Linked DNA regions of Danio rerio. The protein of the gene in region 2 purifies or fractionates together with the protein of the main gene of each other region. This does not show direct contact. Links are inferred from orthologs where the notes say so. Each region holds a gene or a part of one and is shown on either strand. Other genes may lie near its edges.

Region 1 (4,112 bases), on a different chromosome or scaffold from region 2:
GACGTGCATTGTCCTTCCCTTGACTCATGATGTTGTCTGCTGTAAAGAGACGATCAAAGCAAGATGAGCACAATAGAAAAATCATCAAGACTTATTAAAATACTTGCTTGATCTCTGCTAGATCACAGACCTCTTGAAAAGATCATTTAATGTCACTTGTTTCCATAGGCAGTGGAGACACACATACACACAAATTTTTACATCCTGCATTAGTGACAAAACTAATCTGACAGCAACCTTACTGAAAGGTCCTGTTATGACATTTTAATATACCTTGTTAAATAACATTGAGAAAAGTAAACATTTTAAGAGAAACCTATCCAGAGATTAACTATTCACAATTAGGAACATAAGATGCATTTAGAAAATAAATACATTGAATTTTCTTTTAATTTCATTTCAAGTTTTTAGCTTTTTCTTCACATTACTTTTATATTATTCACAATTAAATATATATATATATATATATATATATATATATATATATATATATATATATATATATATATATATATATATGCACAATATTGGAAAAATCTAACAATGCAATATTTTTTTGATTTTGCCATATAAATGAAATTTTCCCAGATGACTTAATATCTTTATTTTTGTCAAGAATTTATAATGTTAGATCGATTGGGATGATTCTGTAGTGGGAGAGCATATAAACAGTTTCTGTATAAACAATTTCTGTATTTGCATGTGCTGTGTTGTGAGTATTAATGATGAATTAATTTTTACTATTTGCATCCCTATAAAATCAAATAAACAATCTTTACATTTTTAGGGTACCTACCCAGACACATTTTTGTTGTGGTCTGTGCTATTTGCAGTGCATTTCTGTATATGCACTTGTGAGTATTTTTATTCATAACAATCTATTAATACAATCAACAAACTTCAATAAAAATAATCGTAGTTAAGGTCACAAATTGTGCAATTTCTTATAGCTGAATGCTTTTGAAGACATTATACAATCACAGGCATAAACAAAACATGTGCAAATGATACATTTTAATACAAACTACAACAACATTGCATATCCTGCGATATGACTATTGCGAATGATCACATTGCAATATTGATCGAAACGATATATTGTGCAGCCCTAATACTAACATTATTCTATTTTAAATTATTACAATTGTCTTGCTGATAAATCTGTAAAAAAGAAAGAAAAAAGTTTGAAATGTAAATGAATTATTATTTTTTGCTTCACTGTAATCCTTAAATTGGGTTTTATTATGTCATTGAAAGATGCCCACAAAACCTTTTATTTCTAAATTTTATGCTAATATGGTGAAATCTGACAAACATACTTTATCAACAGAGTGATAAAATAAGACATTCAAAATCCCTTTTGCATATGCCAATAATATGAAACAAAAATTAACCAGTGCTCAAAATTGTATGTTTAAATTTAAGTACATCAGCCCATTTTGAGTTCGACAGGACCTTGCTTTAATATGAAACCTGAACATTTCAGACACCTAATGGATCATAAAACAATTAACAATATTGAGGAAGTATGGTGATATGTATTAATTATTATTCACTGGTTTAGCTATTTCTACCCTGTTCAACAGTGGTGCTTTGGCCCAATATCTTCAAACTATTTATGTTTCTTATTTATTAGTAGTAGTTGTGGCAATGTTTTCTATTTTAGGACTGCACTGTTATCCTTACATACAGTCTTCTAATACATCGTCAAAAGACTACTGCTTTAAATGTGTCTGACATGATTTCTGGCATGTAAACAGTTTGGTGTCTTCTTTAAATCATGGTAAAAATGTTTGTTAAGACTTTTTTTTTCTAAACTATATATATTTTTTCTATTTATAAATTTAGTCTATGATTTTATTTTGTTTGTTTATCAGACGGTTTTCAACATGTCAGGCAAATTTCTAAATGCTTTGACACTATTTTTGATAAAAATATTTCATAAAAGATAAGGATTAAACGCAAAGCTTGAGCTAAACAACCACCACGGACGATAACATTTATTATTTATTTATCTCTAGCCAGTGTACCTGTGACATTTAGTCTCAAACTACTAAAAACAATATAAAACAGAGGCTGCATGGATCTGTCAGTGTGTTTTGGGCAGTGGTGCTAGAGCCCGCAGTGAAGAGGATCGACCCATCAAACCATCCACACCTAAAAACAGCCGCCAAACGCACCAATCTCACCGATCATCGCATCACAGAAGCGGAAACGATCGATTCAAGTTAACAAAATGTCATTTTTGCTCCACACGAGCTAGTGATCATCGACTGAAGAGCAGGTTTGTTAGTAATATCGTCTTAACAGCGGACTCGCCTCCCCCTCCCAGATCTGCGCAGCAGCCTCTGTTAGCTTATCTGCTAACCCAGCCAACAAGGTTGTCCGACTAACGCCTTTTATCTGTGTTTTAACATTATAATCTTTTGAATTTGACATCATGTAGACGGAATAAAACCAGACAGACACAAGTTATCCACACTGGCGTACTGACCTGTCAAAACGGCCTCGTTTATCCCTGCGTCGTTTAAGCTGCAACCGTTCAGCCTCCGCCGGTATAGTGACACTGCACATGCGCATTGTGAGAGGACATCGTGTGCGAAGCGCATGTCTGCTTCTCGGTGTTGCCAGTTCTGTGTAACGAACAGTGTTGCCATCTCCGCGCTTTATAAGTAAACATTATAAGCTTATATACATATATTTAAAAACAAATACATAGCTTATAATAAATTATCTATGTAGATACCTTTTATATCACATAACTCATTTTGTAGCATTCATACAAATCATAAAGCATATGCCAAAATAATTGGCAGTTCATTTCGCTGTGGTGACTCCTGATAAATCTATTATTATTATTATTTTTATGATTATTAATAATAATAATAATTGCTTTCGCCTCACAGCAAGAAGGTTGCTGGGTCGCTGGTTCAAGCCTCAGCTTGGTCAGTTGGTGTTTCTGTGTGGAGTTTGCATGTTCTCCCTGCGTTTGCGTGGGTTTCCTCTAGGTGCTCCAGTTTCCTCCACAGTCCAAAGACATGCGGTACAGGTGAATTTGGTAGGTTAAGTTGTCCGCAGTGTATGAGTGTGTGTGTGTGTGAATGAGTGTGAGTATGTTTTTTTTTAAGCCAGAAAGAAAATGAATGGATAAATGAATGAAAATAATAATAATATTTTATTATTATTATTAAGTACATTTATTTATTCATATGAACGTCATTTTTATCTATTTATTTTGTATAGGCCAATCATATATAATTTAAATTGAATATCTACATCTCATCTTACTTATTTGTTTACTCAGTTGTTTTACACAGTGGATGGCTGTATGCCTTTCCAGCTGCAACTTAGCACTGAAAGTACAACACTCAATGCTGGGAAACAACCACAGACTCTCCCATTCACACACATTTAGCCAATTTAGTTGATTCAGTTTGCCTATAACTTCACCTACATCTTTGGACTGTGGGGGAAACCGGAGCACCTGGGGAAAACTCGAGCAAACACAGAAATAGCCACACAGAAATAGCAACTCAAACAAGCAACCTTCTTGTGGTGAGGCAACCATGCTAGCCTCAGCCAATGTGCCATGGCTGAATGAATTGTTATCATATACACATTCATTCGTTTTCTTTTCAGCTTAGTCTCTTTCTTAATCAGGGTCACCACAGCAGAATAAACTGCCAACTTACGCAGCAATATGCCAACACAGAAATGCCAACTGACCTCGAACCTTCTTGCTGTGAGGTGACATCGCTACCCACTGCGCCTCCATCATATACACATATGTATTTTTATTATTTGTATAAAGAAATATATGTGAACAGTAATTTATAAATACAGTAAATCCTTTTGTTCATGTATTATCATCATATCACTTTTCCTTTATTCTTACATAATCACTCCTTTTGTAAAATTATTTAACAATGTTGGTTTATTACTCTCTTTTTGTTTTTATTGAGTCACTTTGAATGTTGTTTTTGTATTTTTGTATAAGTGTTTTTGTAGGCATGTTTTTCCATCAAAATCTGGCAACATTTAATCTTTTCATCCGCACCATATGATGCTTTCAGTGTTTTTCTCCTTTTAAGTCTTACATAAAAAAGGTAATA
Region 2 (3,656 bases):
AAATAGGGGAAGTTAGAATAGAGCAATGAAAATAAAAGGAACTTGTATAACTTGTGCTCAGCAGTGTTAGCTTTGTTTTATTACCACATTACTTCTGTAACTTTTAGATTTTTATATTATGTTTTCATTTAAAGTTTTCTTTGTGTGTTTTGATTTTTTTTTTCCATTCAGGTTTATTTTATTTTTATTGAGTTTTAGACACTTTTGTACTTCAACTTTCAGAATCTGCTGGGCTTTTCCCCCCCTTAGTTTGGTTTGTTAAGAAATATATGAACACAGCAATCACACCTGGACGTGCCCTAAAACAAAAGTTTGGATAAGGCCAATGAATTAACAAGTATCATAATTCATAATTAATTTAAAGAAATGTTAAATAAAAGAAACAGGGTATGATACTTAAAGAGAGGACATCATCTAATGCACGTTTCCACTAAGTGGGTCGGTTCGGATACCCCTCTGGTGGGAGTGGTGTACGACAAAGTTTCAGTCTACGTTATTCTTGCTTGAGGAAATGTCAAAGTAAAGCTGTATGGGTCATTCACATATCATATGAGAAGCAATTGTTCGATGAACATGATTTGATTATAACAGCAGATCATTGATCAATGTGCAAAATAGCAACTTCTGCAACGTCCACAATTGCATAAAATAAATAAATAAATGCAGCATATATGAACACATACAGACAGTTACAGTCTCCAATATATTATCAATTACAAAAAAACTACACACAGCATACATTTAGTCCTTATTTGGTTTAAAACAACACGCAACATTGCCCCCAGTCAGTGCAAACCTCTCATCTGTGTCTATAATCTTTACCAGCACATGTAGGCTCTGTTAGAGAGTAATTCCATAATTCTGAGTTCATAATAGTCCAAAAGGTGATGATAATAGTTAAACAAGGCAGTTTATTCATGTTTTAGGTTGCTGAAAGAATCATTTGATGCTTTTTTCAAACTTCTTGCTTTTTCGTGCTTCACTCTCGCATGGTTTATCTTTTTGGCTTTGTGGCTGTTCATCAAGTCGACGACAAGGTTTGTTTGAGCTTGGGTCGACCATGGCTCGTTATTATATGTATATATTATCACGAAGTAATCCCTTGGCTGTGTATTTTAAAAATGGCGCTTCCTTTGTTTTCGTTCTCCTGGTTTGTACAAGCGATAGTGACGCATCTCTTTGAACCAATAACATTCAGTTCCGCCTTTTGGTACCCTTTTGTTGTGCTAGGTAGCCTTTGGAAAGGATACCCAAAAAGTGGTACGGTACGATTTGCTTTCAGGTACCTTTTGACAGTGGAAGAAACAGCCATAAAAGCATACCAACCCATACCGTACTACTTAGTGGAAACAGGCCATTAAACTGTTAACTACTCTAAACTTGAGAATTGCATGAATGAGGCACTGGTTTCCATTGTATATAACATTTTAAATTATATTTTTACAGGTAAAACAGGAATGAACAGTAAAAACCTTTTTATTGACCCCAATAAAACATCTCCATCTTAAAAGACAATGTAGAGGAAAGCAAAATGTATGTACAAACATTTACCATTAATTCTTTTTACATGCTTTAAAATGTTGCCATGTAAAAGAGGAACAAACAAAAAAGAAAATGCAACCTTGTAGCAATTAAAGTCCCTGTTTTCAAAATCAAAGTCAAAATCTACAGGTTTGAATATTCCTTTCAATATTCCTCAAAAATACTTTAAAACATTCCCAAGATCTTTTCTCCAAGAGATTTTTGTTTGCTGTAGCCATCAAACGAATCGAATAAAGAAAAAATTCATACACCAACCTTGTCATCTTTGCAGTACATTTCATACTGCTGGATCATCTGTCTACTAGCCAGACTGCCGTGATAAACAATAGCATTCATATCAGTCCAGTTCGAAAACTCTCTTTCCCAGTTTGTGATCGTGGACAGAGGGGCAATGATCATGAACGGGCTCTGGACCCCCGCAGAAAACATCTCTGACAGCAGGGCAATGGACTGAATTGTCTTCCCCAGACCCATTTCATCCGCTAGGATGCAGTTTTGCCTGTGTGGGAAGTCACGAATACAAAACAGACCGTGTAAGATTTGAAAAAGAGAAACATCATTCTTCTCATACACTTGTAGCCTGCTGTTTTGCAAATCCTTTCATTATCTGCCCTTTATTAACCACTACTGACTCCACAAAATTTATTTAACATCAGGCCTAAATTGAATCATGGACAGAATCATTTAGGTGACTTCATAATAAATTGCAGCGAATTCTCATCAACATCTTCACCTACTCCTGCAGTCCAGCCAGATTCAGATGGTAATAAGAAAAATGTGCCAGCATCAGTTATTTGAGTAAGGCCATAATTCAAACAAAGAACCCAGGGTGACTGTTTTGATAAGGACGCCCACTAGAATTACCAGGAGGCCGTTGTTGTGTCCAAATAGTAGGCTGTCAAATTATTTACTTATGGTGTGTATCGCCAAGCAACTGTCTGCTCACTGTTGTAATGCTGGATCAGTGGCAGGTGGTATTTATAATTGAGAAGGAGGGAACAATCTCACTCTAGAGAGCATTTTATGCACCCCTGAGCAGAGGAAATGAATCATCAATATTTTTGATTCAATCTCCTGGAAGAGAACGCTTGAAAATGTAAAAATGCTTTTATTTTGTCAACTAGGATTACAGAAGTTTAACGAAGCCTCAAAGCTGAAAAGCTTAACCTTCTGTAAAATCACAACTTATGAGTCCTGTGAAGTGCTCTGAACTGTGCATTTAAACTTGACGTAATCTCAAATGAATTATGACAGGACATAGTAGTTCCTCCTGTTTATATAAAAAACAGCCAACAGCATTTTGTTTTAAGCACAGCTCTGCCGGTGTCAGTGGTTGAGATCGATCGCATCAAATGAAAAGCATGTTGAAGAGGAGTCGAGAGCTAATGATTGGTCGGAAGATTTGAAGAGAAACTAAAGTATGAGGCGTACGATATTAATGATATGATGATATAAGTATGGTATTCTTAAAACTAACAGTCATACTATTATCTAAAAACATTATTTTAACTTCAAAGGACCTTTAATGCAAAAGGAAACTGTTAAAAGGTGTGGATGCCCTCAATTGTAAAGGGTGGACAAATAAAAGTTGAATAAGCTATATATTTACCTGTTGTACCAGTTAAAGAGCAGCCAGTTGACTCCCTCAAGCTGGTATTCTCTGAGCTGGTTCCCATTCTTATACTCGGTGGACTCATCTAGCTTTTTCCAGGCACTTGCAGCAGGCCGAGGCTGATGGAAGAGCAAGACTTGTTAATAATTCATACGGTTTCGTCTTGTTTCTTAATGAAAACCAAAAAATACAGGCAGGATAAAAATGATCCAGTGAGAAGAGAGAAAGAGCCAGACAAAACAGTATCTCACAGTTCTCTTGAGTCGTGGTTGGCGGCTTTCAATCTTCCTGAATTCTTCCACTTTGCCTTCATCAACATCCTCCTTCAGCTCCCAAGTAGCATCTTCATAGGGTAGAGAGCACCACTTCACCAGGTAGTACACAACTGGCTGTAAAAAGGAAAAATAGAATTCAGAATCTGTGCTTTTGTTGCTTGTGTGCAGTTGAAATAAAATGTGATGTAAAACGTTATAGCACAAAACAAACATCCACACACACTTTT
Region 3 (4,260 bases), on a different chromosome or scaffold from region 2:
AAGAGAATGCTTGGTGATACAACCTTTATGGCACTCTAATACATTAAGATATTTATACATCAAATGTGCATTCCAAACTTTTTCTTGATTGAGAAGAGTTGAATTCTTCCATCATTTGCAGTGTTTCTAAATTGCATTATTAATAATTTCTAACAATTTTTTTTATCAGTTTCATCTATTATTTTCTGTAAAGCTGCTCCTGACCATGATATGTCCACATTAAATGGTCATAAGAGATGTGTTAAGGGATTATTTGAAGCATCTTTAATTTATTCTCTTAGGTAAGGAGAAAACTCCACTTAAATCAACTTAGAGGGAAAATGTGCTTAATGCATTATGAAGCTTGAAGCATCAGAATCAGTACTCCTGTATCAACACAATAAACAAGGAATCGGTACTCATTATCAGCTGTAAAAACCCTGATCTGAGCATACCTAGATCACATATTGCAAAATAACCACACATTATTTATATATCAACAACATGAAACAGGAAATGATATATAGAACAGAGAGATGATACACAAAACACTCTTGGCTCGTGTTACAATCAATATGGGTTAATAAAATATATATTTTTTTATCATTACTTGCTTTTGCCTTTGATACAAACTTAATATAATATATAGTTTAAATCTGACGTGACTAGCGCACTTCAACAACATCATGTAATGTGTAATATTTAAGCATGAGAATAGTTGGTTTTTGTGGCTGTTTGAATGCATACAACCAAATGATCATCTACACCACAAGAGAAATTTAATTCAAGGTGATTTCCAAAACTCTAAATGTGGTTAAGGTAAAAACATCCAGTTAAATCTGTGTCAGAATTGTCCACTCCAAACAAAATGCATTCTAATACCAGGTCACAGCTTGAACAGGGTTTCAAGTTAGGCCTTCAAGAATGTGCTGACGTACTAGCAAAGTTACTTATAGTCTGAAGAATGCCTGTTGATGGAACATTCAAACAGATATTACGTGGTCTTCTAATCAATGCACTAATAACTACATACTGACATATTTCTGTAGTTTAGTTATAGCACTAGTAGTTTATTAATCCTGGTTTCTCCAGACTCAAGCCAGATCCTATTTATGTGCCCAATTTTGTATAAAATCTCAGAATTTATGCAGAATAATTTTTAGAGTATAGTTAATAAACCTAAACTGAAATTTTATTAAAAAAAATGTTACCATACTTGGTCACAAGTGACAACTTTCTTTAAAAAATAAAAATTGTTTAGAACTTAAAAAATGTGTTAGAATTGCTGCAGGGATTCCTCTGTCTCACACACACACACACACACACACACACACACACACACACACACACACACACACACACACACACACACACACACACACACACACACAGTGAAGATCTACAAGGACATGCGTTTTTGATCCTTGCACTGAATTGTAATGGACAACATGCCATTTAAAGTCACACCTAATGACATAAATTTGTGCTTTTGCTTTGTTTTGATTTCTTTTGCCAATGTTGCATTCATATTTAAGTTGAACCACACAAGAATCATTTCAGTTTGTTTAGTACACGCCACGATTCAGATGGCAGATTTACCAGAATCTACACTCATTCAAATTAACTGCATAACGAAATTACAACTCAGTTTTAATCGAACCAAACCTGCCAAGCCCAAAAATATGCCTAAAAATATGTGCAATAATACATTTTTTGGTCCACACACAGTACTCTTTCGAATATTGGCACATCAAAGTAAATGTTTAATCCCCTCAATAAGATTAATAACAAATCAGCCTTTTCTGCAAAAGGACAGACTGGTTCACCAACAAGTATTGATGATTGAGGTAAAGTTGGTTTTACATTAACACATTCAGACTTAATAATATAATTTCAAAAAAGTATTACTTGCAAATTCCAAACAGTGAAATTATATAAGCAGTCAATGACTAACCGTGTTCACAGTCAATTAAATAGTGCTAAGTTGTTTTGAAGTCATCCTTGCAAGCGATTTTAGACCGAATATTCAAAGTAGCGTGGTAAACAATAAAGGAACCGTTAAAGTGAACGAATGAGCGAATAGAAAACCAACTTTACCTCAATGTATCGATGCATAGGAATAGTGCAATAATAATGAATGCAGGCTGTCAGCCCCAACACCTGCTTACACTGAGGAGGACAACATATCACGCAGTTATGAACTGAAACAACTTGACGTTTAACAGAAATGTAATTTGTTGAAGGGACATTCACTCCAAGACTCAAAACATGCTGTCGACATCTTCTCTAACTTCTGAAAAATAGGTTTACATAAATAAAGCACTCGTGTTTTAATCGGATCAGCTGATTGTGTTGGTGAGGAAAGACTGTAAAGTAATTTAATAGACATTAAACTTAACATTCACTACATGAACTGTTCTTGTTTTAAAATGACTAAAAGCATCTTTAATCGTTAATACAAGCCGATTAAAATGAAACGTTCCTTCGGCAATGTTAGCGCAATTAGCACATGCTTTAACGGGACAGCTGGACGACTTGAATCAAAAAGTCTGTCAAAACCACTAGTACATTTTAATACGTTACATATTTATAGTCAGCCTAACGTTAATCCTGCAGGCCTCTTCACTTTCACCCTGATCTGCGATCAGCTTCCTTGTGCTAACACGCTAACCGTGTTGTGCTAGCTTAGATTGAACGTCAAAACGTCCCTCTGCTCTCTATAAGCGCCCTGCTTTAACATTCACTCCCTAAAAAGAAACGTCATTTACATATTAGAAAGTATACGAGTCATACCCATTTGTTGTAGACTGGAGAGAGAAATACTGGCCGTGTGTTTTTAAATTTCTCACAAGACCCTCCCGAGTTCCTCCAGCTGAGGGCAATATGGCGTCGACTGGAGAGGAACGTCATCTCCTCTGCTGTTTCCGGTTTTCTCGAGCGGCCTCATTCAATAACAAATGAAAAGTGAAACGGCCGATTGTTGGTGTTTGCTTATTTACTTCTGTATAGGTAAGTAGCATACCACTGGCGATTTAAATGCATTAGTAGGACTTTTTGTTATTGTTGTACATGAAGCGATTATAAGAAGGGTTTTGGCGGGATACATGTTATTGTGTAACCGACTAACGTTAGTTAAGTTAACTGGTTTTCTTTGTTGACAGTCAATACACAACGTCGCGTCAGGTGCATCTTGATAAAACCCAGGTTTCTGCTTAACTGAGGTCAAATCGTCACGTCTGAGTTTTGTAATAGTATATACATAATCTAAACAAAAGCTACACTTACATAAATTTGTCGAAATAAAATGTCAAGTAATGTCATGTAACATAATATTTGCTATATATCAAATATTATGACAGCATTTATATCACATAACTAGTTAAAACTTAGAATAAACTAATATTACATTTCCTCCAATAACTGTTTGAGTCTTTAAGGATGATTTTGTCATTTAGATGTTTTTTTCTCTATCAGGGTCTTAAAAAGTCCTAAAATGTCTTAAATTAATTAAAACATTGTCTTGTAGTAGGTCTTAAAGTATTTTAAAGAGCTCTTCATTTTCATGTTACCTAACACTCATCCAATCACCAACGATCCATCTAAAAACTTTTAACAAAACTCTTATTTCTAACTCTACTTATCAATATGGTTTAATTATCTTTCTTACGCTAACATTTTCTCAGTTGTCTGTGCATTTATAGATCATATGAGGAGGACACTGATCTGGACAGAATGTTGTGCACACATATAGATTATTATAGTTTTTTGTTTTAGTTTTGTTTGTTTGATTGAAAAAAGTTATGTTGAAAAAAAAGTATATAAACAACCAAAAATGTGTGGCTAAGAAATGTTGCTGGTTTGTGTCCCGGCTGGGCCAGTCGGCATATCAGTGTGTAGTCTGCATGTTCTCCCCATGTTGGCGTGTGTTTCCTCTGGGTGCTCCGGTTAAAATATGCGCTATAGGTGATTTGAATGTACTACATTCAATTGCTCATAGTTTGTGAATGTGAGTGTGTATGGGTGTTTCCCAGTACTGTGTTGTGGCTAGAAGCACATCCGGTGCGTAAAATTTATGAATAGTTGGTGGTTCATTCTGCTGTGGCGACCTCTGAAATAGAGACTAACGAATGAATGAATGAATAAATGTGGCAAAGAAATAACTAACTAGATTTTTTGTAAGGGGCAAGTAAACATTTTTTTCCATGGGACATGGATAAGGTTATTTTCTAAGGCCATTAGAAAATAACCTTAGTGTTTAGGCCTGTATAAGTCTGCAATTTC

Evidence for each region.
Region 1: the proteins of chd8 (region 2) and kpna1 purify together in Homo sapiens (affinity purification with mass spectrometry; 6 studies listed by BioGRID and IntAct, with this or other methods). This does not show direct contact. The link is inferred for Danio rerio from reciprocal best matches to the Homo sapiens genes CHD8 and KPNA1.
Region 3: the proteins of chd8 (region 2) and kpna5 purify together in Homo sapiens (affinity purification with mass spectrometry; 3 studies listed by BioGRID and IntAct, with this or other methods). This does not show direct contact. The link is inferred for Danio rerio from reciprocal best matches to the Homo sapiens genes CHD8 and KPNA5.

Annotation. Positions count from the first base shown.
Region 1 is NC_133199.1:24,834,111-24,838,222, forward strand, and holds the start of kpna1 (importin subunit alpha-5), read right to left. Parts: upstream 2,830-4,112; 5' UTR 2,658-2,829; coding exon 2,495-2,657; intron 40-2,494; coding exon 1-39. UniProt on the Homo sapiens protein: Functions in nuclear protein import as an adapter protein for nuclear receptor KPNB1. Binds specifically and directly to substrates containing either a simple or bipartite NLS motif.
Region 2 is NC_133177.1:41,131,410-41,135,065, forward strand, and holds part of chd8 (chromodomain-helicase-DNA-binding protein 8), read right to left. Parts: intron 3,544-3,656; coding exon 3,406-3,543; intron 3,274-3,405; coding exon 3,152-3,273; intron 2,042-3,151; coding exon 1,798-2,041; intron 1-1,797. UniProt on the Homo sapiens protein: ATP-dependent chromatin-remodeling factor, it slides nucleosomes along DNA; nucleosome sliding requires ATP. Acts as a transcription repressor by remodeling chromatin structure and recruiting histone H1 to target genes.
Region 3 is NC_133191.1:35,382,171-35,386,430, forward strand, and holds the start of kpna5 (importin subunit alpha-6), read right to left. Parts: upstream 2,875-4,260; 5' UTR 2,777-2,874; coding exon 2,773-2,776; exon of another isoform or gene 2,724-2,772; intron 1-2,723. UniProt on the Homo sapiens protein: Functions in nuclear protein import as an adapter protein for nuclear receptor KPNB1. Binds specifically and directly to substrates containing either a simple or bipartite NLS motif.